Linked DNA regions of Struthio camelus. The protein of the gene in region 3 purifies or fractionates together with the protein of the main gene of each other region. This does not show direct contact. Links are inferred from orthologs where the notes say so. Each region holds a gene or a part of one and is shown on either strand. Other genes may lie near its edges. The genes, in order: C2CD5, CABLES2, CDK5 and TMEM94.

The links.
Region 1: the proteins of CDK5 (region 3) and C2CD5 purify together in Homo sapiens (affinity purification with mass spectrometry; 6 studies listed by BioGRID and IntAct, counting the BioPlex papers as one, with this or other methods). This does not show direct contact. The link is inferred for Struthio camelus from reciprocal best matches to the Homo sapiens genes CDK5 and C2CD5.
Region 2: the proteins of CDK5 (region 3) and CABLES2 purify together in Homo sapiens (affinity purification with mass spectrometry; 6 studies listed by BioGRID and IntAct, with this or other methods). This does not show direct contact. The link is inferred for Struthio camelus from reciprocal best matches to the Homo sapiens genes CDK5 and CABLES2.
Region 4: the proteins of CDK5 (region 3) and TMEM94 purify together in Homo sapiens (affinity purification with mass spectrometry; 5 studies listed by BioGRID and IntAct, with this or other methods). This does not show direct contact. The link is inferred for Struthio camelus from reciprocal best matches to the Homo sapiens genes CDK5 and TMEM94.

Annotation. Positions count from the first base shown.
Region 1 is NC_090942.1:75,529,807-75,536,824, reverse strand, and holds the start of C2CD5 (C2 domain-containing protein 5), read right to left. Parts: upstream 3,017-7,018; 5' UTR 3,015-3,016; coding exon 2,820-3,014; intron 1-2,819. UniProt on the Homo sapiens protein: Required for insulin-stimulated glucose transport and glucose transporter SLC2A4/GLUT4 translocation from intracellular glucose storage vesicle (GSV) to the plasma membrane (PM) in adipocytes.
Region 2 is NC_090959.1:15,662,161-15,669,051, forward strand, and holds the start of CABLES2 (CDK5 and ABL1 enzyme substrate 2), read right to left. Parts: upstream 3,005-6,891; coding exon 2,472-3,004; intron 1-2,471. UniProt on the Homo sapiens protein: Unknown. Probably involved in G1-S cell cycle transition.
Region 3 is NC_090943.1:498,383-505,798, reverse strand, and holds the start of CDK5 (cyclin-dependent kinase 5), read right to left. Parts: upstream 3,020-7,416; 5' UTR 2,937-3,019; coding exon 2,900-2,936; intron 2,800-2,899; coding exon 2,711-2,799; intron 2,622-2,710; coding exon 2,554-2,621; intron 2,450-2,553; coding exon 2,389-2,449; intron 2,289-2,388; coding exon 2,232-2,288; intron 2,074-2,231; coding exon 1,978-2,073; intron 1,703-1,977; coding exon 1,628-1,702; intron 1,043-1,627; coding exon 946-1,042; intron 846-945; coding exon 776-845; intron 512-775; coding exon 451-511; intron 373-450; coding exon 292-372; intron 172-291; exon of another isoform or gene 36-171; intron 1-35. UniProt on the Homo sapiens protein: Proline-directed serine/threonine-protein kinase essential for neuronal cell cycle arrest and differentiation and may be involved in apoptotic cell death in neuronal diseases by triggering abortive cell cycle re-entry. Interacts with D1 and D3-type G1 cyclins.
Region 4 is NC_090960.1:8,344,448-8,352,405, reverse strand, and holds the start of TMEM94 (endoplasmic reticulum magnesium-transporting P-type ATPase), read right to left. Parts: upstream 3,017-7,958; 5' UTR 2,857-3,016; coding exon 2,803-2,856; intron 1-2,802. UniProt on the Homo sapiens protein: Could function in the uptake of Mg(2+) from the cytosol into the endoplasmic reticulum and regulate intracellular Mg(2+) homeostasis.

The DNA.
Region 1 (7,018 bases), on a different chromosome or scaffold from region 3:
TTATGCACATCCAGTTAATTAAAAAAAAATTCAAGTGTTGAAAAACTGGGTCGTAAGTTCACAATGAGCACTACAGATAAAACCATACCTCTGTCAGAGCTCTATATAGAATTATGACCACAAAAACAAATAAATAAAAATGAGGCCTTCAATATGATTTAATGAACAGTAATCTTTTTGGAAAAGAAACTAATTACAAAGTAATCTTTAAAGTTAAAAGTCAAGGTGGTACGGAAACACAGGGTTAAGCAACGTTAGGAAAAAGTCAGCGAGCTATCGAAAACTGTATGCAGCCTCTATGTGGATAAAGAAAGTAGCTGTGCTGTTAACTTAGAAACCGTATTCACTATGCAAAGCAGTATAATATAGGGATATTGATGCTAGTTTTAATTGAGCTACCTCATACACTGGAAACAGCCAACACGCACTAGCGCCACCCAAACTAATTTTGCATGCTATCTAGCAGAGTAAATTAGATCCCTTGGAGCCCTAGGCAGTTACAATTAAACTTCTCCAGCAGTCAAGCTAGTCCACTAAAAATAATATAGGTAATCTTTCACTACACTGCAGTCTGCTGTTGAAATTTAGAAGCACAGTTGCAGACAAACTGGTGCTAAATTGCTCTAAATCATACATTTTCTGCTGGCAAAATCCAAATTATGCATAACCTGAGCCAAGTAAGAGCTCCAAATTCTTTCCTCCTTTTTTAATTCTAGATTAAAATTAAAATATCTAAGGAAGAAATTAAAGGTTAGTAGTCAACCAGTACCTTAACATTACATGGTATTGTCGCTGAAAAAAGCTAAAGATTAAAAGCAGAAGTCAAGTTTTTCAGCAACCATACACATATTACAAAAAAAAAAAAAAAAACAGTTTCAAGATCAGTCTATTTGGACATAAATCTCACCTGCTGCCTCACCTACTCCCCATGTGGAAAGGGAGGTCCCCACCCTCTGAATATTTGTTGCAAGTAATGGTCCTAAAAGCAAGGCCCCATCTACGTATTTCTTCTGCCTTATTTGTGCCAGAACATTCATGAAGCTGCTCAGTAAACCAGATAAGCAAATTGATCCTGCTGAAAAATAACTTTTTTTTCCCGCTAAGTTAGTGCTTAAGCAGATGAATTTCCTGATCCCTTTGCTACACAGCTACTCACACTGTAAGGCTGTCATAGATGGTGCAGGGTTGGGAAAAAGCGGCCAAATGGAGGACAGAGACATGTTTTGCTCAATACAGCATAAACAACAAGCTGAATGAAACTCATCAGAGTATCTCCTATACCCTTTTTTCCCTGTCTCCTAGTACCACACAGCAGAGTTGTTCTAGGCTGCCTTTTAACCAAATTTAAAATTACAAGAGAAACTATTTATAAATTAAACCTACTGAAATATTTGAAACTAAACACTGAAATACAAAGTTAAATCGCTGTTACTTATTTAACACAACAGAATAATTAGAGACTATTTCAGCTCCATTAAAGAGCATGTCAAAAACTCATTTTTTCTTTATTACTTACTTATCATCCCACTAAGTAATGCACTTAGTGTCTGACGTTAACCAAATTTTAAGCAACAAACTAAGTTAGGACTTACATGCCCAAAATCTATTCTCAGATTAATATTTACAGACTTTTCAAATTACATAGTTATAGAAAGACATTATATTTTCCTACCTTAATTCCAGTATTATGCTAAAGTCAATTACTTTTTGCAGTACAGGCTTGCTGTAGTATCCCATTTTTAAATATCCTTGTTTTTTTCTGAAAGTATGATATCTGAATCTATGGAAGTCTATTTAAATTGTTCTAAGTTATTTATAGTGGAAATATTGAATCATAAAACAGGAGGATCATGTCAATTTATTTTACAATCCCTTGTTGAGAAATTCCTTATATATTGCCTGTTAACTACATACAGATTGGTTAACACAAGATACTTCCAGTACAACAACATGATTTAAACATGCAATTAAGTATTTGTCCTCAACAAGAACTGTCTTTCAAAAATTTTTAATATTTTAAATAAAGATATGAATATTGGCCTTGAAAGTGAAGCCTGTACAACCACATTTGCACTTCATATATTGAGAGATACAAGTGACTTAAACATGTTTTTTACAACTTCTCCATTCTGTTTATAATGCAGCTACGGAATCCTGAAATAGATTCCATTTGCCTGGTACATCAGCAAGACCTGTCCACTAACAATCTTCATCAGAGAGAGGCTTTAAAAAAAAAGAAAAAAGAAAAAAGAAAAGAAAGGCAGTATTTCTAAAACACTATTCTGATTCTCTACAGCTCTTAGCTAAAAGTCACACACAACTGTACCAGAAACAGCTTAAAAAACATACATCAGCAGACACAGACTCAGGGAGTTCCTTGACATTTCTGCAATCGCTTTCCAGACCAGAGCAACAGTGGGCACGATAGTCCAGGTAGCACTGGCAGGGCTGGCCTACCCTCCCCCCCGCCCCCAACCAAAAGAGATGCAACCAACAGTAAACTTATAGGTAGCATCAAGGAGGCACGAAACGCGTCCCAGAAAGGGCCTGCTCACGGCAGCGGGCAACCGCAGCGCGTCCCACGCAGCCCCAGCAAGCAGGTACGTGACCGGGCCAGCATCCGTCACCTCAGCGCGGCCAGCCAGCGGGGGGCGCCCCGCGCATCGGGCCGGGCCGGGCCGGGCCGGGCCGCCAGCAGGTGCGCGGCCTCCGCCCGCCCCTGCGCGGGCTCAGCGCGGCAGGTGCGCGGGGCCGGAGGCGGCGGCGGCACGCCCTCCCGCGGGGCACGGCACGGCACAGCGCCCCTCCCTCTCGCAAACCTCCACAAAGGCGTCGGTCAAGTCGCTGGCGCGATCCATCACTGGCAAATGGCGCCCTGCCACGATTTTGACCTTCAGCTTCCCCGGCATCTTCTTTCTCCTCCTCCGCCGCCGCCGCCTCCCGCCGGCTGCCAGGAGAAAACAACAGCGGGTGTCCCATGGAGCGGCGGGGGCGGGGGGAGCGAGGACGCGCATGCGCCGCGCCGAGCAACGGTCCGCCGCTGCCTGGCCAACGGCCGCGGGGCACGCGCGGCGTGACGCAACCCGGCGGGGAGGGAACAGCCTTCGGGCGCATGCGCTACTTACCGGGTGGCTACTGCAAACGGGCGGCCCAAGCGCGCCTAGGGAGCGGCGAGGTAGGCGCCAGCCGCCTTCCCCCGCGCCCAGCGGCCACAGGGTGCCGCGGCGCCGTACCGTCTCCGGCACCGGTGTCGCCCCACCTCGTGTCAAAATGGCGCCGGGGGCACGGAGACCCAGCTGGGAGTCGAACGTCGACTCCTCGATGGGTTCTGCGCTGGCACCGCGGCGGTCCTGCGGAAGGAAAGTCAAGGTGCTTGAGTGCCGAATCATCGATTGGCGGGGCTGCCGTGGGCGCGGGCGCACTTCCCGCCTTCTGCCCGCCGCCTTCCGGGGCCGGTGCGTCCGCCACCGGGGGCCGGTCTCCTCGGCGCCCTCAGGCCGCGCTGCCGGCTATCTGTCGGAAGCGGGGCCCCGGTCTGGCACCGGGGCGCCGGGCCAAGGCGGCCTGCGAGCGGCGCCCGGGGGAGCAGGCCGCGGCGGCGGCGGGGTTAGCTGGCGTCCGTTGCTCCTGTGGGGTGGGTGAGGCAGTGTGGAGAGGAGAAGGGAGCTCCGGTCGGTCCTGGGTGCGCCACAGGCGGGCATCTCTGAGTGCCCCATGGGAGATTCCTGCAAAGGATTTAAACCAGACAAAAAGCAGGGGGCGGGGGGTTGCCCATCATACCTGCGCAAACTATAAACAGGCTAGATGCATATTTCTTCCTCATCCATCCTGGAGTGGAGTAATGGAATAAGGCTATTTCTAAGACAGGATGGAGCAATAAAGCCTAAAGATCCAGGGAGGGAATCAAAGCCAGGGACTATATTGCTAATTAGTAATTCCTGTGTTAGCAATTCCTGTGTTAGAATCTGCTGATCTCACCTACTTAATAGACTTTGGTTCATGTCGTGGAGCAGTCTCAGAGCATATGAACTGGATATTCCTTTTGAGTATGATTGAACTGAAAAATATGCTCTAACAACACACCTGATACATTCCGGCTGCCCAAGGACATTCAGTCCATGGCAGGAAACTAAGCTAGTCTGAAATGAAATCTCCTGAAATGTGTGTTGACTGTGTGGATGCAGGGCCCTCAGCTCCCTTTCACCCTAAAGATCTGCCATTAATCAACTACATTACTTGCTAACATAGCCAGTTGTGTCTTAATTTCCCTATTAAAATAGAAAGTTGCCAGCAGACGGTTGTGATGACAAGAAAATGTTCTCTGTTGCATTGTTTGGCCTTTGTTATCTGATGGTATGTTACTTTATGCCCCAAGATGTAGGGAGAGTAAAGTCAGTTCTTGACTAAACACAAGGACGAACAAGCAAACTGTGACATATGTTCCTTATATGGCAAAACATCCACTTTGCTTCTCTTGCTAACTAAATTATAATAAAGCATTTTAGGAAACTGCAGTTGCTATGATTTTTGCTATATGTCTTGTGATATGTAGCATATTTTTTGTTTCAGCGTATGAAGAGGTGTGAATACATTAAAATTTTTGCTTTAATTTGAAAGAAAGCAAGTTTTTAGTGCTTTGAGATGGAAAAGGGGAAGTATCTTGTATATTATAAACATGTAAGGATACACACATACAACTATGTGTTAAGATATACAATATTCCCCACTGCTGTCTACACTTTAAGGAAGTTACGCACCAAGCAGTGGTTTCTGTGCCATCACTCAGGAGGTACAAATGGCTCATATCCGCATTGCTTGCTCACACCATTCATCTGTTTTTCACCTTCATGCTTGGTACCATCTCAGGCTCGCTGCTGATGCCACTTTGTTTTCCAAAATGAGGCTAAGCAAGTTGTTATTCATTGATCGAGCTGAGAGTGGAGGGAAAGACTCCTGCTAACAGCTTATTTAACCAGCACAGGTTTGTGGCGTTGTATTAGGGTATAAACTTTTTCGCTACCCGCACCATACCAGTCGTAAAGAGGTCTGTGGCTCAGGGAACTATGCAGGGACCAGGTATAATCTGTCTGTCAGATAAAATTACACCGTATACCTGCATGACTAGCATTGAATCCAGAAGCTTTAAAGGGAGAGTGCTGTCTTCAGGGCTCTTTTCCAGGTGAACTACTATTCAACACTGAGTATCTGTCTAGCCTGTTCTGGGCAGCAGTGTTGCTTTTGGAGGCCTCCCTGTACCTACCAGTGAAGAGGAGACAAGTCTGTAGCAGGCATGATTGTGGTGGAGACTGTTTACCCATGAGTGGCCTAACATCACAGGCTTCATGGAGTTCCAGGTCTTTGCTGTGAACGTATTCCCAGCTGGGTCACTGACAGGATTTGTGTCTTCCCAAGGCCACCATGAGCACACAACATCACAGCAGACCACTACAAAGGAATCACAAGTGGAAACATGTTTGTGATGCCAGGGTCTTCCTAGACCCTTCTAGTCAGGCATGGATTCCTCGAGCCAGAGTAAGCTTTTGATGTTAGATCACAGCCAAGGGTGGAGAGTTAGACGTGTCTTCTGTGTGCCTTTCTCTGTCGCATCAGATGCTGCTTATGGAATGTTACCCAGCAGTAAGAGAAAACTCATATGTGGTCACATAGAGAGAACTCAGTACAATATATACACTTCAGCTGGGTCCCACATGTCAGCATGGTCCCTGTGTGGAATACATATTCAACTGGCTGGCTGATGGTAAATGCTGAGTAACAAGCTGGCCCCAGCATCCCCAACTCCTGTCCCTTTACTTCTGTGAAAATGTTGGAGAGCCATGCCATTTTGAGCAGTCACAGCGTTCTTGCTGTAATACAGTTTGAATTGTTTCAAAATAATACAGAAGAAGAGGTTTGCTATATATACTTGTAAAAAAAAGGCTGACTATTTGGAACTTTTGATACCAGTAATACATGTGCTAGTCCTCTGTGCACATAAAACAGATTCTTGTAAATTATGCTAAACCCTTGTCTCCGATAAATTCTATTTTGTTACTCACATTTAATTGAAAAATCTTAAAGGAACCTTAAATCTAAGTTTGTATGTCTTTTTAGAATTAGCTCTTCTCTTCTTGTTGTCTTTCCTTCTACTGGGACAAGTTCTACAACACTGAACAAAAAGAATGGAGCTCTCTTGTTCTCCAAGCATCAGACAGCATGACTGACTAATGGCCAGTTAATACAATGAATACCTGACTGAATATACTGCTTTGTTAAATGAGATAGCTACAATTTGGGGCAGTCTGTGGACAATTCAGGTATTATTGTGCCAGATGCTTGCAGAAAGGGAAGCTTTCAAGAGAACATCCAGCACAGTAAGCTCTTCCAGGCAGGTTTCCATAAACCTGTATCACTCCTGATTCTTAAAGAGCCTGATTCTTAATCTTCCCAGGCAATTCACTTCAATGCTTATTATTCTCAAACTTATTCAAAAGGTTTCCCTACTGTTTAAACTGAATCTTTTGTGATAAAATACAAATCTTTTTTTCCCTTTGTCTTATCTACTGAACCTGAAAAACAGATTATCACTTTAGAAGAGCCTTACTGGATTAAACTGGTAATAACTGGTACATACACTTTTAGTTAAGCTTAAAAAAAAAATCCACAGTATCCAGGGCCAATAAGATCTACAGGTTAGCTACTTGTTTTGGGCAAGTTTATCTCTTTATTTTGAACTTAACTAATTTCATTTGTGGACGCCTATCTTTTGTATTATAAGAGAGAATGAATAATTGTTCCCTTTCAACTTTTACTCCTGCAATAACTTTTTATATATTAAAGGATTTATCATCTAACTCTTTTTTTACATGTTTAAAATCAGTAACTTGAATGTTTCCAGTCTTTCTTCATCAATCTTTATTGACGTCTCTAAACATCATCTTCCTTTCTTCTGAAGACTCTCTGAACAGGCCACAGTTTTTCTTGAAGTGTAGTACCCTAAACTGTAACCAGTGTTCCAGTG
Region 2 (6,891 bases), on a different chromosome or scaffold from region 3:
GCGACTGGTAGTAAATACTTTGGGAGAGTTTTTTAATGCATCCTCACAGGCAGTGTAAAACTATCCCTTTTGCCAGAAGGAGGAGGATTCAATAAGACACAGGGTCAAACAACATCTGAGAGACCTGTGATCCATTCATTGGTCTAGTCCCTTTATTAAGCCATTTACACTTCTCGGGCTCCTGCAACAACGAGTCCGACAACTTAATCAGGCAGGTACAAAAAAAGATGTGCCTCTTCTGCCTGACAATTGCAATGAGTGCTTCCCACAACTCCTTAAGACAAAAAAAAAAGAAAAAAACAACATGAACTCTCACTCCAGATCACCTTCATTAGAGGTACATAAAACAATGAAGGCAACGCCATGTTTCAGCCCTCTGTTTTCCAAGCTAAAGAAATTCATAGTCTGTTTTGCTATTGCTCATGCAGAAACCCTTTCCATTCCTCTGATGATCCTCCTCACACTTCTCTCTACCATTTACTCCTGATTTAACATTCTTTTCAGAATGACTGATTAGAATTTTTATAGCGGAGCATAACAACATCTAAAATTAGATGCCACGGAAAGAGACAGGAAGGACATCAAGAGAAGATCCAAGGAGTATGTATTCCGACATGTTCTGTTTGTATCCTATTGACTCGGCATGGAAAGGAGAAGGAGTGAATAATTTGCATGAATTCCAGCTGTACAAAATTCAGTATGCCTGTGCACAGAGCAATCTGTGTCACACGCAGAGGTAATTATACTTGTAAAACTTGCCCTCAAAAGCTTGATGGGCAATATTAAAACAATACGGTGAATGGCACAGCACCTAGAGCACCAAATAGGGTTTTGAGGACCGCAGGAGTGCTATGAAGAAGTTGTGTCATAGCAACACTGTTACTTTAGGCTTTACTGCACAAACTGCACATAACAATGTAATTTGTGCATACAGGGCATTAAAGTAGGAGGCCCATTTTCAATTTCTTCAAGAATTGGGGAAAGAAAGGTGCCTGCCGTTATGAAAGGGAAAGTAATGGGTGGTCCCTGACAATTCAAAAGAGAAAGAAACCTGGCAGGGGCAACCCCTAAAAACATTCTTACTCACAAATACCTGCTTTCCTCTAAAATTTACCGGAACCGCCATGTAGCAGTTTCTTGATCAACAGGACACATCCGTTACGTGGCTGTGCACTGAAACGGAGCACTAATCAACTGTATGCGCAAAGCTCCTCAGCTTTAAAGGACAGACATCTCTATTTCAGTTTACCAACAAAGCTCTGGAAGCCACTATAAAGAATACAGACTTGGATGTCTTTGATATTGTTTTTGCCTATATGTACTCTCATATGTGCTCACTTTGCAAAGCTACTTCTCCAAGGAAAAGGCCTGACAAAAGTTGCTTTAGAACTTCAATCCCCAAAGATCGGAACAAGATCCTGCCTTTCAGATGAGAAACTGCACACTTTCAGGCTGATAAGAGTCCCCTGGCTGTACAGCAATAATTTCCCTCTGAAGGGGGGAACATCCCTCTCTGCAGAGGATTGAGAAACATCCCAGCATACGAGCATGTATTAATATTCCTCTTAGAGCTACTGTGTAAACAAGCAGCAGAAATTAAGGGAAGGTACTGCACTCAGTAGTATGCAGATTACATGGAGTAAGAGCTTATCTAACAGCGCCTCTATTAGCTTCATCCACAAACAGAAAATTTCAAAGATCAGGCTTTGAAAAAGCACAAAGCATGAAGGATTTGGGTTACTGCAGAACCCCAGCTGGAGACTAAGCTGCCCAAATATTCTGCAAATCCCCATCACCAGACACTTGCCCAACTTTGGGCATTCGCTCAGGCAACCAGACAAATAGCTAAGCAACATATGCGGCACTTTCAGCGCAGCCACCGCGACCGTCAGGGCAGCTAAGGGAGGAGGAAAGCAGCGCTGCAAGAAGCCCCCTTGCAGCATCGGCGCACCCGGCGGAAAGGCAGGGCAGAGGCGGGATGTAAACAAAGGCAGCCCCGGCGGCTGGCGGCGCTCAGGGCAGAGGCAGCGCGTCCGCGGCGACGAAGCCCGCGGCAGCGCTGCCCCATCCCCGCCGCCGGCAGGTGCTCGCCCGGCGCCGGGCTCCGCCGCCGCGGCTCCGCGGGGGGCGGCGCACGGCAGCGCGGCGAGGGAAGAGGCCGGCCGGCGGCAGGGGGAGCGAGCGAGCGAGAGCCCCCGTCTCCCACGGCCGGCCGCCCCTAGGGGCGGCGGTTTCCCATGCCCGGTGTCCCCGGGCCCTGGGAAAGTCCGGCTCTTCCCAGGGCTCCGGCGCGTCCCACGCCCCGCCGCGGCGGGGGGACGGCGGGTCACGGCGCCTCTGCCCGCGGGGGGGGGGGGGGGGAGGAGGAAGAGGAAGAGGAGGAGGAGGCGGCCCCGGCGCGGCCGGGCGGCGGGAGGGCCGGCCCGTTTCCAGCCCGCGGGGAGGAGCCGAGCCCCCAGCCCCTCACTCACCTCTGCCGCTGCACCTCCAGCGCGAAGCCGCCGCCCGCGGCGCTCGGCGTGGGGCTCAGCAGCCCCGGCGCGCCCGGCTTGGCGGCCACCGGCATCCCCGGCGGGGCGGGCGGCGCCGGGGGCGGCGGGCAGAGCTGGCCGCCCAGCAGCAGCTGGGGCAGGAAGATGCCCCCGCGGGGCGGCTCCGCCTCGCCCTTGGTTCCCGCGGCGGCGAGGGGGGCGCCGGGCAGCAGCAGCGCCGGCGGGGGCGCGTGGGGGGCCCGCGGCGGCTGGCAGGACGGCGGCGGCGGCGACAGGAGGCGCGGCAGAGCGCCGGCCGGCTCCGCCGCCGCCTCCTCTCCCTCGCCCGGGCCCGCGGCGGGGGGCGGCGGCTTCTCGGCGGCCAGGCAGGGCGGGCGGCCGTCCAGGGAGATGTTGTTGAGGAAGAAGAGAGCGGCCTGGCGCCGCCGGGAGTCGCCCCGCTTCCGCGGCGGCGGCGGCTGCTCGCGGGGCGGCCGGCTGGGCGGCGAGCCGCACGCCGTGGCCGCGGCCATTCTCCGAATGAGCCGCGACGGCCTCGGCCGCCCGGGCGGGGTGGCGCGCAGCGCGGCGCGGCCGGCTGCCCGCCCGCTCATTGGCCGCGGCGCGCCGGGATGCAAATGAGCCAGGCCGCGGCCCGGCGCTCATTGGTTCGGCTGCTCCTCATGGGTAGTCCCGCCCCCGCCTCGCCGGCCGGCGGAGCTCGGCGGGGTCCTAGAGCCGGCGGAGGCGCCGCGCCTGCATCGGCGCCGCGCAGCTCTGTGGTGCCACCAGCGGGCAGGCCGGGCACCCGTTCCCGGCTGTCCCCCTCCGGTCACGCACCTGGTCTGTCCCTCTCCCCGGGACAGTCACGCAGACAGCCCCTTCCTCCCTTACGTGTGCCCCTACCGCCGCCACGCACCCGCGTCCCCTCTCAAACGTCCACCTGTGTCGCCTCGCAAGCACCTACCGCGTCCCCTCACGAACACTTACCCGCGTCCCCTCACAAACACCCATCCGCGTCCCCTCACAAACACCTACCGTGTCTCCACACAAACACCCACTGCTTCCCTTTACAAACACTCACCCGCATCCCCTCACAAACACCCATCCGCGTCCCCTCACGAACACCTCCCGTGTCTCCTCACAAACACCCACTGTGTCCCTTCACAAACACTCACCCGCATCCCCTCACAAACACCCATCTGCGTCCCCTCACGAACACCTCCCGTGTCTCCTCACAAACACCCACTGTGTCCCTTCACAAACACTCACCCGCATCCCCTCACAAACACCCATCTGCGTCCCCTCACGAACACCTACCGTGTCTCCTCACAAACACCCACTGCGTCCCCTCACAAACACCCACCACATCCCCTCACAAACACCCACCACATCCCTTCACAACACCCACCGCGTCCCCTCACAAACACTCACCTGCCTCCCCTCACACACACTCACCTGCCTCCCCTCACACACACTCACCCGTGTGCCCCCTCACAAACACCCACCGCGTCCCCACACAACAGACACCAGCGGTCTCGTGTTCCCAGGGTCTCAGCCTTCCTGCCAGCAGGGTAGACACGTCCCCTAAAGTGATCAGCACGCATTTGTGCACGTCAGACAACTTCCGTAAAACCAGATAAGGGCAGTTATTCTTATCCCAGTCTGGGAGCCTGGGACCCGACCTCCCGCTGCAACCCCGCGGGCAGCTCCCAGTTCGATGGTGGGGCTGGGTTTCAACACCAGCCCGCCGGCTCTGGGAGTGCGGCTACCTGTGGACTACGCTGAGACTCACCGGCAGCACCCAAAAACGGCACAGAGCGCTAGATCTCCGGGTGTCCTACTCGCTGAAGGAGAGCAGACAGAGCACAGGGCTAAATGTGGGCTGCATACGGAAAAGGCGGACCCGGAGAAGACTCAGTGGGGATCTGGGAGAACATAAACTTAGCATTATCTCCAAAAAAGTGACTCAAGGCGTATCTACACAGCGTGCCGCTTCTCAGACTCAGATGTTTATACCGCACAGTGTAAACACCCCCCTCAGGCACTTGAACCGGCTCCCACATCCCAGGGCGACGCTCTGACCGCTTGCCAAACCAGAAAACGGTGCCGTCTCTCCTCTGCGCTCTAAGGACATGGGTGGGAGCATCCGTGCGACTGGGCCTCGTGGAGGGGGTCGGAGAGCTTCGCTAGGGGTGAAGAAGCCTCCGTGCTTTGAGCATCGGGCTGTGGGTGCTGTGAACGTGTGGCAGGAAACTCACAGCTTCTGTACTCTTTAGGAACAAAAATGGGCCTTACAAACTCTCAGCGCTTCCTACCTTAGGTACTCTAGGTGGATTTTGCCTGTAGACACAAGCACACCAAACCAAATTTGCCATTAAAAAGGGGCTAATGAGATGTTTACAGTTAAGCAGGTGCTAGTGCATTTGCAGCACTGGACCCTTACAATGGCCACTTCTTTTGCCTATTAAGATTCCGTTTTTTAAAGAAGCAACATGACAGCGACTGCAATTGTTTGCAGTTTACACCAGGAATCCAACCGACGTCTGACGACATGACCTGAAATGTGGGCACTAAATAACAAGTGGATTTTCAAAATGTCTTACAGAACATCGTGCAGTTGCTAAGTCTTTTTATATGGCTGTTTCATAAGATCCATTTTTTTGCATGCTGTTCTAAGTAGGACATAAACACTTGTGTTATAGTATTTGTAGCATTTAATAATAATAATAACAATAGGATAGGAAACATAAGACTGTTTTCTGTAGGCTTTCACTTAAAAAGCTATTAAAACAATGTAGTGCAGTATAACAGTCCCCTTAAAATCCCACAGATATCCTCAGTGTATTGTGATACTCAATACAGGTCATATTTTGATTATTTGGCAGGATCATCCTATCATCTGCAGAAAAAATGATTTGGGATAAAAAGGAATTAAAATCCTTCTTGCTGGCAAGCTCATCAAAGAAGCCATGGGATAAATGGGCATGGAAACTTAGCGAGGCTTTCTCCAGAGGGTTTTCCAGAACCCAGGATTTGAATTAAAAAATAAATGGTATTTTTTCATTCTTTCCTTGACAAAACAGCTGTAGGATGTAAATTGTCCCACTGAGTCAGCACAGGATGAAGCAGAAAGAAGCCAGCCTCCATAGCTATCTTAGTGGGTTGCTAACTTCAAAGCTGGATTCAGAGGTTTGCACGTTGCTGCTGTTAACGCTTTAATGCTAGGGAGCTTTCATCTACATTTGACAAGCAAACTAGTTCACAGTGAATGAATATAGCAGGCATATTGCTATGTTTCAAGGAATCTGCCACTAAAACAGATGGGCCTCATGTCAGCATCATTTCCACCAACGGCAGTAACGGGGTGCAACCGGAGCAACCTTCTCTCCATGACCTTTTCCTGCCCTGAGGGAATCACCATATTGTGGAGAAAGAGGGAGACAGAGCTCTGTTTTGATCGAAGATGCTAGTAATTCATAGCACGGTGATGTTATTTTGGCAAAAGGCTTGACTTGTCGCATTGCTGCTGCACAGTAGCTCCAAGTTCTGGGCTGAGGCATGTTTGAATCTTAACTGTTGCAATCCCCCCTCAAGATAAATATTTAGGAGTTTTGCAGTGCAGTTTTGCACCTACAACAGCATTATGGCACAAATGTAAAGCATTCTTTTGAATATCCAACACCTAACCCTCTCATTTGACTCCTGGACTAAAAGCTCTACCATAAAGTAAGCACGGAACAGCATGGATATATGTTTGAACAGTCAAAGGGTTGCCAGAATAAGGAGCTGATAGGGAGGGGACCAAACCTGCAAGCCTTTATTCCAACATGGTGAGGGGAATATAGTTACCGAAGTCACTGCGAGTTTTCTACATTCAAGAACTGCAGGATTTGGTCTAAGCATCTGAAATGAGACAGCATTTAAACTGCCTATGTGGGCTGGGTGTTAAAATTTTGCAAAATCATGGCCCAAAACCAAGCAAAGATAAACAGGTCATGAATATATTTAGGCTGGGAATCAGAGGAACAGTGTTCCAGTTGGAGGAACTGCTAGTATTAAGATGAAGTGTGAGAAATTTCTGTACAAGTTTTTCCACTTAAAAGTGTAGTGTGGACCTGGTGATCCAACAGGCCTTTTCTAGTTCAGCATTGTTATATATATCACACTCAGGTATCTTTTCTTGCCAGCTCCTCTCTTCTTTTGCCATCTGTCTCAGGAAAGGGGAAATGGAAAGAAAAATGCTGCTTTTGTCCCAAAGCCCAAACACGCAGGAGCTTGGTAAAAAACCTGAAATATTTCTCTCAGCCGTTGTGGAAATATCCTCTGGTTTCCTGTGGGTACAACAACACTCCTTGCATCCATAAATCTCAGCCATCAGCACTTCTGTCATTGGAGCCTGCAGAGCAGTCCCAGCTGA
Region 3 (7,416 bases):
CTAAAGGAGCCTGTGGGTTGGAGAGACACGGCAACCTTTCCCTCCGTGGGCACTGGGGTTCCCAGAGCGGCCTGGCCTCACAGCTCCCCCATCCACGTCAGCAGGGAGAAGGGAGGATCGGCTGCTCGTACCCTACAAACGGCACAGCAGCGACGCTGGATACGAGGCAGTCTAGAGACCACGGGGAGAGACGTCAACCACTTTAAGAAGTCAAGAATCCTTCTCCCTCCTCTGAAATCGTTGCCCAGCCACCTGCACAGAGAGCAGTGACGGACAAGAGAGAACGCTCACCTGCAGCAGGTCCCGGCCAGTCGCGTTCAGCTTAGGTACCACGTTCACCAGAGACGTCGTGGCAGGGTACATGGGGTACGGCTGGGGAGAGACAGACATGAGCCCTGGGTGCTGGGCCTGCCACGCTGTCCCCTCCTTCCACCGCCACCTGCGGCTCACCTTGTAGTCTGGCAGCTTGGCCATCGCTGGCCACTGCTCCTCTGTGGGGGTTCCCAGCAGCGTAGGGACAGAAGCAGTCAAGGGCCACCTCTCTAGCCTGCTCCTTGGAGCCTCTTCAGCCAAAGGAAGCAACCTCTGCTCCAGCCACGAGAGCAGAACGCCCAGTTCCCACACCTGCAGGAGTCCTTCTAGCCCCAGCCAGAGAGACCTGCGCTCCCGGGCGAGCACACGTAATCCTATCAGTTCTCCTCCTGCAGCCATGCGCAGGAGAATTAGGCGGCCCCTTTCTCCCACTACAACCCCAACCGCAGCACCAAAAGGATATCGGAAAATCCTTTTCAGCTGGTCGTCTACGTCATTCCCCGGGAACAGCGGCCGCCCAGCATTAGCCAGCTCTAGGAAAGGAGAGAGACAGGATAAGCCCTGGAGGCCCTACAGCCCTATTCCCCTTGCGGGACAGAACCCCCCGCAACAGGAAAAGCCTGGCCCAGCTACCTGCAAAGATGCAGCCAGCTGACCACATGTCTATGGAAGTGGAGTAGAGCTTGGCGCCGAAGAGCACATCTGGCGGCCGATACCACAGAGTGACGACCTACACAGAGGCACAGAGACGAGGACTGCGTTTCCCCATTGATCTGCGGGTGCTTCCACACGCGCCAGCCCTATCAGCCCTCGAGTCCAGCAAAAGCTAGACGGCAAAGAAAGCAGAAAGCTTTCTGTAACAGAAAGCAAGTCCCTTCAGCAGCCGGTACGTGAAAGCCTGTAAATGAGAGCGCAGACCTGAGCGCGATGCCTCAGCCTGTGCAACGCCACAGTTTGGTTCTTGTAATGAGCTCCTGATAGTCCTAGGTGTAGTAGCTAGCGCAGGAAAAACACTACCCAAGCTGCCCAGGCACGTAGCCCAACAGCTAGCGCAAGAAGAGCAAGTCTCCTAGAGCTTGGACTACCAGAGAAAGGCAGAGCAGGCCCAAGGACAGCACGAGGAGCACCACACTGCGAGGAAGAGGGGAAGTTGCACTAGAGGAGCAGCGAAGCAGTGTTGACCATTCAGCCAACACAGCCCCAAGGATGACGCTGCGCTGCAAGCAACAGGGGAGCTGCTCAGAGAGGTGGGGGCTATGAAATGCTCCTGGAGGTAAAAGCCTACAATGAAAATCCCACAGAGCTCCCAACTCACCTCTGCTGAGTAACAGCGCACAGGGATGCCAAAGGCCCGGGCCAAGCCAAAGTCCGCCAGTTTGAGTTCCCCATTCTGCAGTGAAAAGACAGCATCAGCAGGGCTTCATAGGAGACGCTCAGTCCCTGCTGCATGCCTTGGAGTCTGCAGCAGCTACTGTTCCAGACCCCTCTTCCTTTTTCACTGACCAAAAAGATAACACAGAACAAGACAGAAGTGCAATCTCCCGAGAGCCACATGCTCCCCCGGTGAAACGTCCTCCTCGGTTCAGCCAGGACGTCTCGTGCCCAAGCGTGCAGCCCGTACTGTGATTCGCTCCCCTTACCCCCACCCCTGACCCAGTCACTCACTCTGTTAATGAGAAGGTTCTGGGGCTTGAGGTCTCTGTGCAAGACGTTGCGGCTGTGGCAGAAAGCAAGCCCCTTCAAGAGCTGGTACATGAAAGACTGCAGAAGAGACCACAGACCGGAGCAGGACTCGTCAGCCCGTGCAACGCCCCAGTCTGACTTGCGTAAAGAGCTCGATAGTCCTAAATGTGGCAGCTAGCACAGGGAAAGCATCATTCTCTCCCAAGGGCTTCCCAGAGCCTCCCGCCGAAACACACCTTGACGATCTCTGGATCCAAGTCCCCGTTGCAGCTATCGAAGTACTTCTTCAGGTCCTAGGAAGGCGAAAGCAACGTCCGCGTGAGAGCTCAGCGGAGAGGCGGCGCTGCGGGCCGCGCTGGCAGGCGCTGGCCTCGGCGCTCCCGGCCGGCTCACCTGGTCACAGAACTCGAACACCAGCGTCAGCTTCTTGTCGCTGTGCAAGACGTCGTGGAGCCTGGAAGAGGGAGGGGAGCCCTGTGACCCGGCGCCCGCCGCCGCCAGCCGGCCGGGAGCGCGCTGCCAGGGGAAGGGGGGCCGCGGTGCCGGCGCCGTCCTTGCCTGACGATGTTCTTGTGCTTGAGCTCCTTGAGGAGGCAGATCTCGCGCAGCGCCGAGCTGGGCACGCCCTGGGCAGAGGAGAGCAGAGCCGAGCCGAGGGGGGCCGGGGGCGCCGCTCAGCCCCCGCCGCCGCCGCGCCCCCGCCCCCGCCCCTCACCTCGTCGTCGTCGTCCAGCCGCACCCGCTTCAGCGCCACGATCTCGTGCGTCTCCCGGTTCTTGGCCTTGAACACCGTCCCGTAGGTGCCTGCGGGCAGCCGGGTCACTGGCGTGGCGCCGCCCCGAGCCCCCGCCGCCCCGGGCCCGGGCCGAGCCCCCGCCGCCCGCCCGCTCCCCCGGCCCCGCACCTTCCCCGATCTTCTCCAGCTTCTCGTATTTCTGCATGGCGCCGCGCTCCGCACCGGGCCCGCCGGACTGCGCCTCCCCGCCGCGGGCCGCCCCTCCCGGCAGCCGCCGCGCCGTCTCCCGGCGGCCCCCGCGCGCACCGCGGCTCCCGACAGGCCCTGCGCGCACTACGGATCCCGACAGCCCCCAGCGCGGACTACGGCTCCCGACAGGCCCCGCGCTCACTACGGCTCCCGACAGGCCCCGCGCTCACTACGGCTCCCGACAGGCTCCGCGCGCACTACGGCTCCCGACAGGCCCCGCGCGCACGATGGATCCCGGCGGCCCCCGGCGCGAACTACGGCTCCCGGCCGCCCCCGCGCGCACCGCGGCTCCCGACAGGCCCCGCGCGCACTACGGCTCCCGACAGGCCCCGCGCGCACTACGGCTCCCGACAGGCCCCGCGCGCACTACGGCTCCCGACAGGCCCCGCGCGCACTGCGGCTCCCGGCGGCCCCGGCGCGCACCGCGGCTCCCGACAGGCCCCGCGCGCACTACGGATCCCGACAGGCCCCGCGCGCACTACGGATCCCGACAGGCCCCGCGCGCACTACGGCTCCCGACAGGCCCCGCGCTCACTACGGCTCCCGACAGGCTCCGCGCGCACTACGGCTCCCGACAGGCCCCGGCGCGAACTACGGCTCCCGGCCGCCCCCGCGCGCACCGCGGCTCCCGACAGGCTCCGCGCGCACTACGGCTCCCGACAGGCCCCGCGCGGACTACGGCTCCCGACAGGCCCCGCGCGGACTACGGCTCCCGACAGGCCCCGCGCGGACTACGGCTCCCGGCGGCCCCGGCGCGCACCGCGGCTCCCGACAGGCCCCGCGCGCACTACGGATCCCGACAGGCCCCGCGCGCACTGCGGCTCCCGGCGGCCCCCGCACCTCCCGGTGTGCCGCGGGTTCGAGTCCCGCCGCCGGCCGCGGGGCAGCCCGAGGCGGGGTCGGGCCCGTCCGCTCTGGGGAGGAGCGGTGCCCGGGCAGCCCGGGCCGGGGCCGGGGGCGGTGTCGGTGTCGGTGTCGGTTCCCGCCCGGCTCCGCAGCGATGACGGCGGGCGGGGCGGGGTGGGGCGGGGCGGGGGCCGGTGGCCGCCCGGTGCCGCCCGGTGCCGCCCCCGCGCGTCGCGCGCACACCCGCGGGCGCGGCGGGGCTCTCCGGTGAGCGGCGGCGGCGGCGCCCGGCGCGGGGGGTGGGGGGGAGCGACCCCGCATCCCGCTGCGGCCGCGGCGCGGGCACCCGGCCCGGCCCGGCCCGGCCCGGCCCGGTGGCGCGGGGTGCCGGCAGCGCGGGTGCCCCTCGCCCGCTGCTGCCCCGGGACCCTCCGCTCTGCCCGCCCAGGCGCGGCCCTGCCCTGCCGGCTCGGGCGGGCGGGGGGAGCGAGGGACACCGCGGGGACGGCGTGGGGGTCCCGGGGGGGGGGGCTCGGAGCCTCGAGGGGGGGAGCGAGGGGCGTCCCGGGCGGGGGCTTGGGGCTGGGGGGGAGCAGCGAGGGGGCCCTGGGGGTGGGAGAGTGAGGAGCCCCTGGGGGGAGCGAGGGAGGGGTCCCGGGGGGGGAGCAGCGAGGGGGCCCTGGGGAGGAGCGAGGGAGGGGTCCCCGGGGGAGGAGCAGCGAGGGGGCCCTGGGGGGGGCTCGGGATTCGGAGGCAGCAGCGAGGGGGACCGAGGCCGGCCGGTGACGGGTGTCTGCGGCTCTTCACGGCGTCGCGCACCCCGTCGCCGCACGGTGCCCCTGCCAGGAGAGGCGAGCTGCCGGGGAAAGACCCCCGTGCGTCTGCGCCGCCCCGCAGCGTTTCCTCGCTGGGGTTTGCCTCCTCTTCAGGGGTGGAGGGGTTTCCCGAGATCTCCGCCGGAGGCAGAAGAGCAGAGATCTCTCCGCTGCAGCAGTTAAACCCTTGTTGTTGCCGTGTTTTCCAGTGACTGTGGCATGGCCCGAGGCAGCTCGACGCCCTCCCTTTGCCACGTCTGAGCCCGACCGGAGTCCCTGGACAGGTGAGAGCGTGGGGCGAGGCTGGGACAGGCCCCCTGTGCGTGGGGCGAGGCCGGGACAGGACCCCCGCGCGGGCCACCCCGAGCACCTGGCGGGACACAGCCGTCCGGCAGCGCGGCCGGCTCTCGGCTTCACAGCCGCCCGGGGCTCTGCGGAGCGTCCCGCGGCTCTGCCAGTCCCTGCCCCCCTGCAGCCTCCCGGCTTCCCCCCCGGGCTGTCTCGGATCACAGTGTGGAGACGGTTGCGAGGGGTAGCACCAGGCCGAGCGAGGTGCTCGCCCGAGAGCCGCGATGCCCCGTCCTGGGTGGTGAGCGGTGCTGCCCGTGTGCGTAATGCTGCAAGGGTTGAGCAATGCCGGGCGCGGGTCCAGCCCAATTACGCCTTCTCATTAAGGCGCTGATGTGGGTTCCCGCTGTCTTGGACGCTGATCCCAGGGCACATACTGTGTGGTTACATCGGCGAGGTGGGAAGTGGGAGGCTCCCGGTGGTGACCATCTCCGTGGGACTGTTGTGTCCTGCTGGGCTGTTTGGCACGGGGCCGTCAGCGGCGCTGGGGATGCGGGCAGGGAGGGTTGGGCCCTGTTTTAGTTTCCACTCTGATGCGAGAGCAGGACTGCTCCGGCGGGCTCGTGACGGACGCTTGGTGGTGGCAGGGGCCCCGTCTGGTGCCCGGGCTGTGGGGGGTCTGTGCTGCCCCACAGGCCGGTTCCCCCTTGCAGCCCCTGGGCTGTCGGCGGCCGCGGTGCGCACCGGCCGCGGGGTTCCTGCGCCTGTCAGGACAATCAGCCCCGTGCCCGTCAGGCGGCAGGGTGCCCAGCCCTGCTCGCATGCCCTTCAGGGTCGCTGCACCACTTCAAGCGGCTGCCACGAGCACGGGGATTTCATTGCCCTAACAACCCTCCTGGCAGCCGGCGGCCTCCCTGCAGGTGGCTCTTCCGGCCCCTCGGTGCCGATGGGGCCGCTCCTGCTCCCCGCAGCACGCCGTGGGGGCGGCTCCCCGTCCTGACACCCAGCGCACTGCCCAGCCCTGGTGGGCTGTGCGGCCCGTCCGGCTGTTCTGGCCAGCAGGAGCTGGGCCGTTCTGCTGGCTGCCGTGGGGGCGAAGGCAGAGCAGGGGCCAGGGCTGGCTCTGAACCCCTCGGCCAGGCTGACCCGGGTTGTCGGCAGCGTGGGGCTCTGTCCTGCGCTCCCCAGCGCCGCAGGTTGGTGCCGGACGCCGAGTTCCTCCTGCGGGCTCCGCTGCGCACGTGAGAGCGGCGTGTTGATCCCATTAAGGAGACAGAGTCACCTGCGGGCAGGGCCGGGGGCAGACAGACCGCCACGTTGGGTCGTGCCTGGTGAGGGCAGCGGTGCTGGGCGGTCCGGAGCAGTGGCGCATGGCCGTGCTGCGCTGGGGTGGGCAGCCCCCCGCTCCTTGCCCTCTCTGCCTGGGTGCTGTCAGTGCCTCTTGCCCTGGGCGCTGGGGCAGGACCTGCAAGCAGAGCTCTGCGTGTCCCCGACAGGAGCTACGCAGGTCCTTCGCGTCAGAGCCGGGTCGGGAGGCGCAGGCGGTGTCAGGGGCCAGCGCTGCTGCCAGCAGTGCTGCCCTGCGGTGCCTGTCCCCCCGCAGGGTCTGCTCACGGTGTGCGGCTGGAGCCGGGAGCGATGCAGGGGGCTCCCGGCAGAGGGGTGCCCCCAGGCTCCGCAGCACTGGGCTGGCAGCGCGGGCAGGGACATTAGTGCTCAGAGGGCTCCAGCGGCTCCGTGAGAGCTGTGTGGTGCTGGAGGCGCAAGTCGGGTTTCGAGGGAGGAGGTTTCAAACCGCCCAGGCCCTTTCTCTCTGCTGCGTGTTGCTCTCCTGCCTGTACCTGACAGGTCCTGTCCCGCCGCGCGCTCTCTGACTGTTGTGCTGAGGGATGCTATTCCGAGTGTGCCACGTTGGTGGGAGCGTCCCGACCGAAGCTGCGTCCCGGTCTCCGTGCGCAGCCCCGAGCGGAGGCAGCAGCTCCTCTCAGCACTGTGTGCACAGCACAGCTCACCACCGTGGGGTGATGCTGCGCCGGCCACGTGAATCCCGGACCAGGGCAGGGAGAAGGGACTGAGCCTCGTGCGCCTGCTGACCAGCACTGTGAGGGAGTGAGCCGTGTCTGCCGTCCCGTGCCGTCCCGTGCGGAGAAGGGACAGGGAGAGGCTGTACGCGTCCCTGGAGCCAGTCCAGGGCAGGCTGGTGGCCGTCCCCAACGCTCCACAGCGAGCCTGGGTTCGAGCGCAGACGGTGGGTCCAGCCCTGCGCGTGGGTGCCGGGCCCAGCTATCCCCCCGGGGGACGCTGCCGGCCAGCGGAAGGGAGGGGACCCTGGGAGCCGCGTCCTGGCCGGGATTCCCAGGCTGAGCCGCGGGGATAATGAGCCTGGCCGTGGCCCCGGCGCAGCCCCGCGGGGCTCTGGGACGCAGCCCTGTCATTAGAGGGGAGCCGATCGCCGCATGGGCCAGGCGCGCTGCCCGACTGCGTGGC
Region 4 (7,958 bases), on a different chromosome or scaffold from region 3:
TACTGCAGCACAGATATATACTTATAAAATTCACCTTCCCCACTGCTTCTATAGACATGTAAGTAGATTCAGTCCAGTAAAGTGGTAGATATCCTCTGTCCTCTGCGGATTCAGTCTCTTGCAGAGTAAGGGCTCCTCACCAAGAGTGCCGTGCAATTTAATACAACTGCCTTTAAAAGATTGTTTAAGTAAATAAGGGAACAGAAAACAGAAGATTTGCTAGAAGCTTTAATTTGCATAGACTGCGATTCCATTTATCTGATTCAGAGGTATGGAGAGCCCCTACTAGGCAGCTGTCAGATCATTTCCTTCGTTCCAGGCTGCACACATTAGACTCCCCCCCCCCCCCCCGCCCTTTTTAACACTTTGATTCAATTGCTTTTCAGATTTAAATAGTTGGAGGAGAGAAACAGGGCAGCAGAACGTTCTTCCTTTTTCTGAGAGCTATTTTGCATTCCTCTAGCAGAAACAAGAAGGTAGTTTTTAATTTGCCAATGATATTCTGCAGGCTATTAATCTATTTCAGGGATTAGACCTTCTGAAATATAGGCATTATTCACAGTTTCAAAAACACATGAGAAGAAGTAACTGTATTTGCATTCAGTACTGCAAGTCAGATTCTTGCATAAGATAAGGCACAATATGACCCACAGCTTTTTTTTGTTCCCGTCAGAGAGGATGGCAGACATCAGACACCACAGCATGCAGTTTCTTGGAGCAACATTTCTTACTGCAAGCTAGTGCTAGGAAGGGGTTTATTTCTCTTCTAAAACAAATCATACTTCAGCGTGCTAGAGCTCTGTCCGACCACAGCTGCTGAGTTAATGCTCAGACTGCCTGCAATCGAATACCCGTTGTACAAAATTATAGAGACATAGCAGGCAAAGCCAATGGATAGGCCATTCTGGGCAAGTTTCCCATTACTACCTACACAAATTGTATTTGTTGTCCTTCTGGGTGCTTACCCGGTTACTGTTGAAAGGAGGTTTGATGCCTGACTCTTAGCAACAGCGCTTGTCCAGTGACCTAGACTGCGTGAAACCTCCCCCCTCACACATTCACACTCCCCATTCAATAAAGAATTGTTTAAGACTCCGGACTAACTGTCAGGACACCCAAATTCTGCTCTTGCTTCTGCCACAGATTTCTCTATGACAGTGGGAAAATTGCAGACTCCTCTGTGCCTTAGTTTCTCACCTCTTTAATGGGAATACCACCTCCCTACCAGCTGAAGCATTGTGAAGATTATAATATTCACCAACCCACCTGAACGCTACTGGAAAGCACAGAAAAAAGAAATACATGATTATCTGCATGATTCAGGTAGCTCTGTCAAGCACATCGCAGCTCTGTGGGGACCACTGCCTTCAAAACTGGACACGCAAGGAAAGGCTCCAGAGAGCACAACCAACGCAGCTTTTAAACCTGGTTTAAATGCCACCTGACACAAGCTTGGCAACCACCATTTAGCTGTGGGTGGTCTCAAATCAAATGAAACAAGCAAAGCCTTCAGCACAGCAGTGCCCAAATTAATGGACAGAGCGACAGTCAACAACTGTCTCCTTCCTCCATCTGTAGCCACCGTATGAAAGTCAGCCCAGACCTCCCCCGGTCCGTGGACAAAAGAGCTCCCACAGCTCGGTAACGGGGGGCCTGCGGGGGCTCCGGTGTGGAAGCGGACATCGAGGCTCCCTGCCATTCATCACTAACAGGGCCTGCAGACTTACACTGCAAAGAGGCACAGCAGCGGTAGCAAGGATCTCTGCGAGATCTGGCCAGAGCAGCACTAATCAGCCATCTGAATCAGCACTGCATTTTGGTGTGAACAGAGTCCATTTTAATCCAGACAGTGACATTCAAATTTTATGCCCTCTCTAAAGCACAGTGTTAGATGCCAACAGCCACGATCAACCATTTCACATGGCTAACGCAAAGCTCGGTGCTTTCTTCCTTGCTCAGCTAGTGGCAGTTCAACAGCAGAGAGAGAGGAGCCTGCTCCCCAGGTAACAGCCCAGTTGTGAACTGCACCTTCCCGGGTCTGTCTCTTTGGTCCTCCTTGCAGCAGGCAAATCCCCAACCATAGTTACGTGCCCCACCAGGATGCTGGCAGGATGAGGCAGTGTTTATGCAGTGCTTTGAAGCTCACCTGTGCTATGCAATTATCAAGCTTTAATTACCATAATTTATCTAGTTGCAGTATTTCCCCAAGTTCAGAAAGCAGTCGGGGGGGAGGGGGTCCATATTTATTCTGGCTTCAACATAAAGTACAATGCTTTATGCCAGTGCAGAGCTGACTCCAGAGGATGTTAATCTCCTCCTGAGGCCAGCAATGCTCAGAAATCCAGGGAACTTCAGCACATCTTTCACCTCCTGCCCCCTATTTGTTTATCTGAAGACTTTGGGAACTAAAACTGTGACACAGCCTAGAAGGTGCACTGTAAGATATTTCAAGGGGTAAGGAGGTTCAACATCTACAGATCAAAGCACGTACAAGAAACGGATAAACTTGAGACCCGAAGCAGAGAGGCAGCAAAACAGGAGTCAGTAGCTAAGATCATGTTTGGCCCCTCCACTTCGTTTTCGAATTAAATCTATAGTTTAATACAGAGCTTCTTTCCCCACCCCCTCCAAGACCAAGACATCCCTAGCTAAAATTATCATTCCCTGCTTCATTTCCTGACATAATCTCTTTCCCCAGAACCTCAAAGCCCTTCATGCACCATCACATCAGGCAGGATGGAGGTTGGGGAAGGAAAGAGGGAAAGCCATTTTGAATTTAAATGCTAAGGGAGAGAAACTTACTTTGCGGCATTTGCCTTGGTGGGGGATCCAGAGATCGGCCTGCTTAAAGAGCATCTGGGCTAAATTCCTGCACCACTTCCACAGCAACTTCCACTGCTGCTGCCCTCCAGAAATGAGAGAGCAAAAGAGGGAGAGCGAGCCAGACTGTGCAGAGCCCAGCGCTGCAGAGAACGAGACAGAAGCAGCAGAGTGAAGCACCAGTCTGCTGATTAATTCAGCCTGTTTCCAGTCATGCTGCAGATCCAGCAAGGAGGCGGTGGATGGGGGAGGGATGAGGGATAGCAAGGAAAAAAAAAAAGGGAAAGAGAGAAGAAAGTTTGCACAGGATAGCACCAGCTGCCTGCAGGAATGGTCCATTCACAAGATGGAGCCAGCACAGCCAGAATCCGTGGGTTCCCTGCCTGTAGAGATGCATATGCACGCACAGCAACGGATGATGCTGACAGACAGGGTCTGTGGAAAAGCAGATGGCAAATTAGACAGGACAAAGTGCTATAAAATATACTACCAGAGAAGGAACACCTGAGCAGGCCCAGGAAAAAGGACTAGATAAAGATAAAGAGATCCAGGAATCCTAACCCCCTTACACAAATATAGGAGAGTTATCCAGATGACTCCACAGCTTTGGAGCTCCAAGCTCAATTTCAAAAAAAAAAAAAAAAAAAACTTATTTAAATGATTTGAGACGGCTACAGGTCCAGTCTGAAGCATTCCCTCCCTCTTCCCTTCTTGATGGAGAAAGCAGCAAAAGCCCCTCTCAGCATCAAATGTTCATACATCCTGAGCCACACAAGCTAAAACAAGGTGCATGCAGATTATTCATAGCCATGTGCCATATCTGGGGCTCACTGACACCTGGGCAGTGGCACAGAGAAGGTAAAGGATTAGCGCACACAGGGAACCTCTGAGCAGAGATGGAACGAAAGGACACGAAATGGAATAATGGGTATTCAGAAGTGAAGAAGGAATTTTTCTTCTCTCTCGTTCTCATCTTTTACGGGAACGCTTCCCTCTTGTTGTTAAAGGAAAGCACAGTGTCTTTATAAAAGTGGCTTTTATATAGCTCCTACTTCAGTGCTGTCCTGATTCTGTCTGGGTCCTCCCAGTTCTGCAAAGCAATCATTAAAACAATTGCTTTCATACCATATATAAAAGGATGAAGAACTGACCCAGACAAGAAACACGTCAATAGCTTGCCAAGGACCCAGCAGCCTGTATAAAAAGGAACAGACACACACTGCAAAGACTTCCAGAGCCAGCATTTAATGTAGCTTGGAGGACTATGTGAAGATCTCAGTACTCACCCACTGTCCCTGGCCAAGCTTTTCATTTCCTTTCCTTCCCTGAGATTCAGATGGCTAAACTGACACAGCCCATATGCTGCATTTAAAGCCAGAAATGCAGACATCAGAGGTCCCAATATTTACAATAACCCCAAAGTACGGTAGATCCAAGACAACCCCTGAAAGAACGAGTTCTCATCGCTGTGCTGGCACTGAGTTACACATTGGTATGTAGTTTCGCAGGTTACTTTAAAGCCAAAGTTAAAGGGAAACAGTGCCTTTAGCGTCACTTTAGGAGAGAGCTAGTGAGAGAGCAGAGGGAGAAAGAGGGATGAAGATATCCTTCATCTTTCTGTAGGGCATTTTATTTCCTAGACAACAATTTCAAACTGCAGAGAGGAACAAGGTGTCCTAAGGGTACAATTTTTCCTTCCCTCCTCTTTTCCTACTAAGAAACTAAAGTCACCTACCCATTTCAACACATATAAAAAAAAAAGGAAAAACAAAAAAAAAGGACCAATACCACCGAGATGGGGTTAGAATGTGCAAATCTTCACACAACATATGTGAATCAACCTCTTCTTATCTCAGTGCTTGCTGGACTGTTTCCTACGGCTCAGTGTAAATACCTTCTGGAAACTCAAATGACTGTGAATAGAAAAACGGAGTGATCACTGTGCAAGTCTAGGAACAACCCCTGCGCTTCATGTGGTGAAGGAGTCCCAACACAACTTTCTCCTGGCTCTGGAACTCCAGCTTTGGTAATGAACACAAATGGAAATGGACCAAATCACCTCTTCCTGTTTACCCCACCCTCTAGAGACCTTGCTCTAAAATGTTTTGGGTAGGGCAATCATTTGTGCTGTGTAACTTCCTTCTGATAACAGTTGGTATCATAAATTGCATCTGGCTGTGCATTTCTGCATTTGAAAGAGCAGAGCTAGAATCTTGAGGTCTGAAGATAAAACTGTGGGTTCGAGCGAAAGGCAGAGTACAAAGGCAAGGGAAGGGGCTGAGACCCATACAGAAATTGCAGCACAGAAGAGAGAAGCTTGTGGAAGAAGGATTAGTGTGTGAAAAGCCCTTGGAAGAAGAGCTGAAGTTTTAGAGAAGCTGCATGGCAAGGAATAAAAAACAGAGATACAGTTACTGGCAAGACAAGAAGAGGCAGAAGATTTAGCTACTTTTCAGTCCAAAGGCAGGACTGCAGCTCGTTAGACATGCTAGAACTAGATAGCTGAGGACCAACAACACTAGTGCTGCGCAGAGTACAGCACAGGCTCCCGCGAGTACATTTCCAGGCTCCGACCATGAGGCACAGTGCTCTATCCAGGCTGCACCAATTTCACTAGGATAATACAGCTCAGCTGCTACAGTAATTGTGGTATAGATTATGCCAATAATTTTTAATAGATGGAGTTGCTTCAAATACAGCCTATATCTAAAGTAACTCAAACTCAGGAGTCTCACGTTGCCCTGTGGCAATCAGTGAAGCTGTCTACCTTGGTATATGCTTTGCAGATCTTGGAGCAGAGATTCTGGTACCTTTCACAATATTAAGTTCATTTCAAAAATACACAGAAAATTAACAAGTCAGGAGAAGTGGGCAAAAGAGCAAGACAGTAGCACCTTTAATTTAACAAGGTTTTGGCACTGCTCCTAAGATACTCTCTGCCTGTCTCTGCAGTGTCTATAGTTTCTTGCAAAAATTGGAAGAAACCCTGCACTACACCTGACAAACTCTGATCCTCAGTTGTTTCTGACAACGGAACTGTATTAGCTGACTGGAGCCAGAGGACAAATCTCTCATCCTTCTGAGTGTCAGATGTCTGTGCTACGGTTGTGCTCAGAGCGCATCTTGTGTTCCAGAAGATCTAACTCTTCATCACATGCATATACTAGGGTAAAGAGATTGCTGTCAATTAGATTCCAGACTGGTATTTTCAGTGGGGGTTCATCTGATTTTTAGCATTTTAAAATAAACCTAGCACATCGGATTTATCATTGAAGTTACCACAGCAGATTAATTGGTTCCTTTATCAACATATAGGCATCCAGGTTCTTCACTTTGGAAAGGAAGACAGATTCCACTTTAAAGGCGATGAAACGTGGTTCTGCAGTGTTGAAAAAAAAAAAGAGGACCAAGCTCACTAACCAACATCAAACCACATACTGCTAACAAGTATGAAACCAGGATCTTTTCTCAGAATCCAAACAAAGTAAACGGTAAAATGCATCAATGTGCATCAGTGTTTTTTTTTTTTTTTTGCTATTGAAAAGAATGCAGTGACTTTTTGCTTTCATTTGAATTAAAACTTCACTAAGCCAGGAGAGGAGCCTAGGACTTCAGAAAACTATGATTCCCCATAATCCGCTGCAGCAATGCCTGTGCTGGAGCTCCCAGATCCCATTCAAAACACACCTCTGCACAGAATGGTAATTGCTTCATCTCTTAAAATGATCAATACCAGATTAGCCCAAGATGCTATTAACAACAGAATAAATAGATAATTATCTTCATTGGAATGTCACCTCCACAGTCATACAGCAATTGTACATAAAACGACAAAGTTCAAACATGTCCTCAGAGCATACCAGTGGTGAGAGTTTCAGGCATGAGTAAGCCCAAGCCTTCCTGGTCTCGCACGCTACGGAACAGCCATTCCAGCAAATAAGAACTCCAGCAGGCAAGTGCAACAGCTGACGTGAAACTTTGAGCAGCTCCTAAATCGCTTTCACTGCTGTATTAGTATTATAGAGCAGGTCTACATCTAGGTGGCTATCTAACAGGTACTTTGCACTAACGAACAAAACCACCTCTTGATGCTGGAAGCACTGTAAACAAAACAACAAGAAAAGGATGCAGGCAGAACAGAAAGACAGCAAACATGTAATCTAGCATACAAAGTTTAGCAGGGTGGTGAAGAGAGAGACAGGAAAAGAGGCAAAGCCATGAATGTTCTCCTACCAGAGCCACCTGAGAACTTGGCCTGTACAATCTTCTCCACTGGTCTCAAGCTACCTCTCTCATTTCTGACTGGGATCCAGAATAAGGCATGTACCAGTTCACTTTTTTGAGTGACAAATACATTTAATATTTAGGTGGCTACTGAATATAGCTAAAAAGTAAGTAGCCAGTTAGCGATCCTAAGCGATCAAAATCATTCTGGATTTTACTTTTGGGAAGCAGTAACATGTATCAGGTTAATAGTCTCCTGCGAACCACAGCAGATATGTTCTTTCTAGCTCCTATTGCAGCTATTAATGAAGATCTCTCGCTTTTCTCCTTTGAAGCTGAAAGCACAGCAGGGTAGCAAGAGACAGATTGCCCCTCCACACAATATACAGCCTTATCTTGCACTTTCTACAAATGATATCCTGCAGCATTCCCTGGAAAGGCATACAATTGCCCAAGAAATACATATGTTGATCATCAGAAAAACAGGACTCAGAGGATTTTATTATTTTATTTTATATTTTATTTTAAAAATCTTCTCATTAATTCAGCCTCTCAAGTAAAGACAAGCTAAGTGTCCAGGGGAGTGAAGCCCTACCTTTATCCTCAAAAGATATAGCATACAATGACAGAATATACTTCTATGTTGTTCCATGAGGGTGCCTCAATCCTAGCCTGCAAAGGACTCATTCTAGGGATGGGAGTTCTCTTTCTAGGAGCCATTCAGCCCCCCACCTCCACTGTGATTCCCTGTAAAAGGTGCTAACTGAAATGTGAGCGTTTACCCACAAGGAACTCAGTTCATTTAAACAGTTCTCAGGCGCAATAATTTTGAGACCCTGACAAGCCAAGCTGTGTGTAAATTCATCAAGTCAAAATTAATTTCCCAAACTCATTGCCTAGGTTAACTGACATCT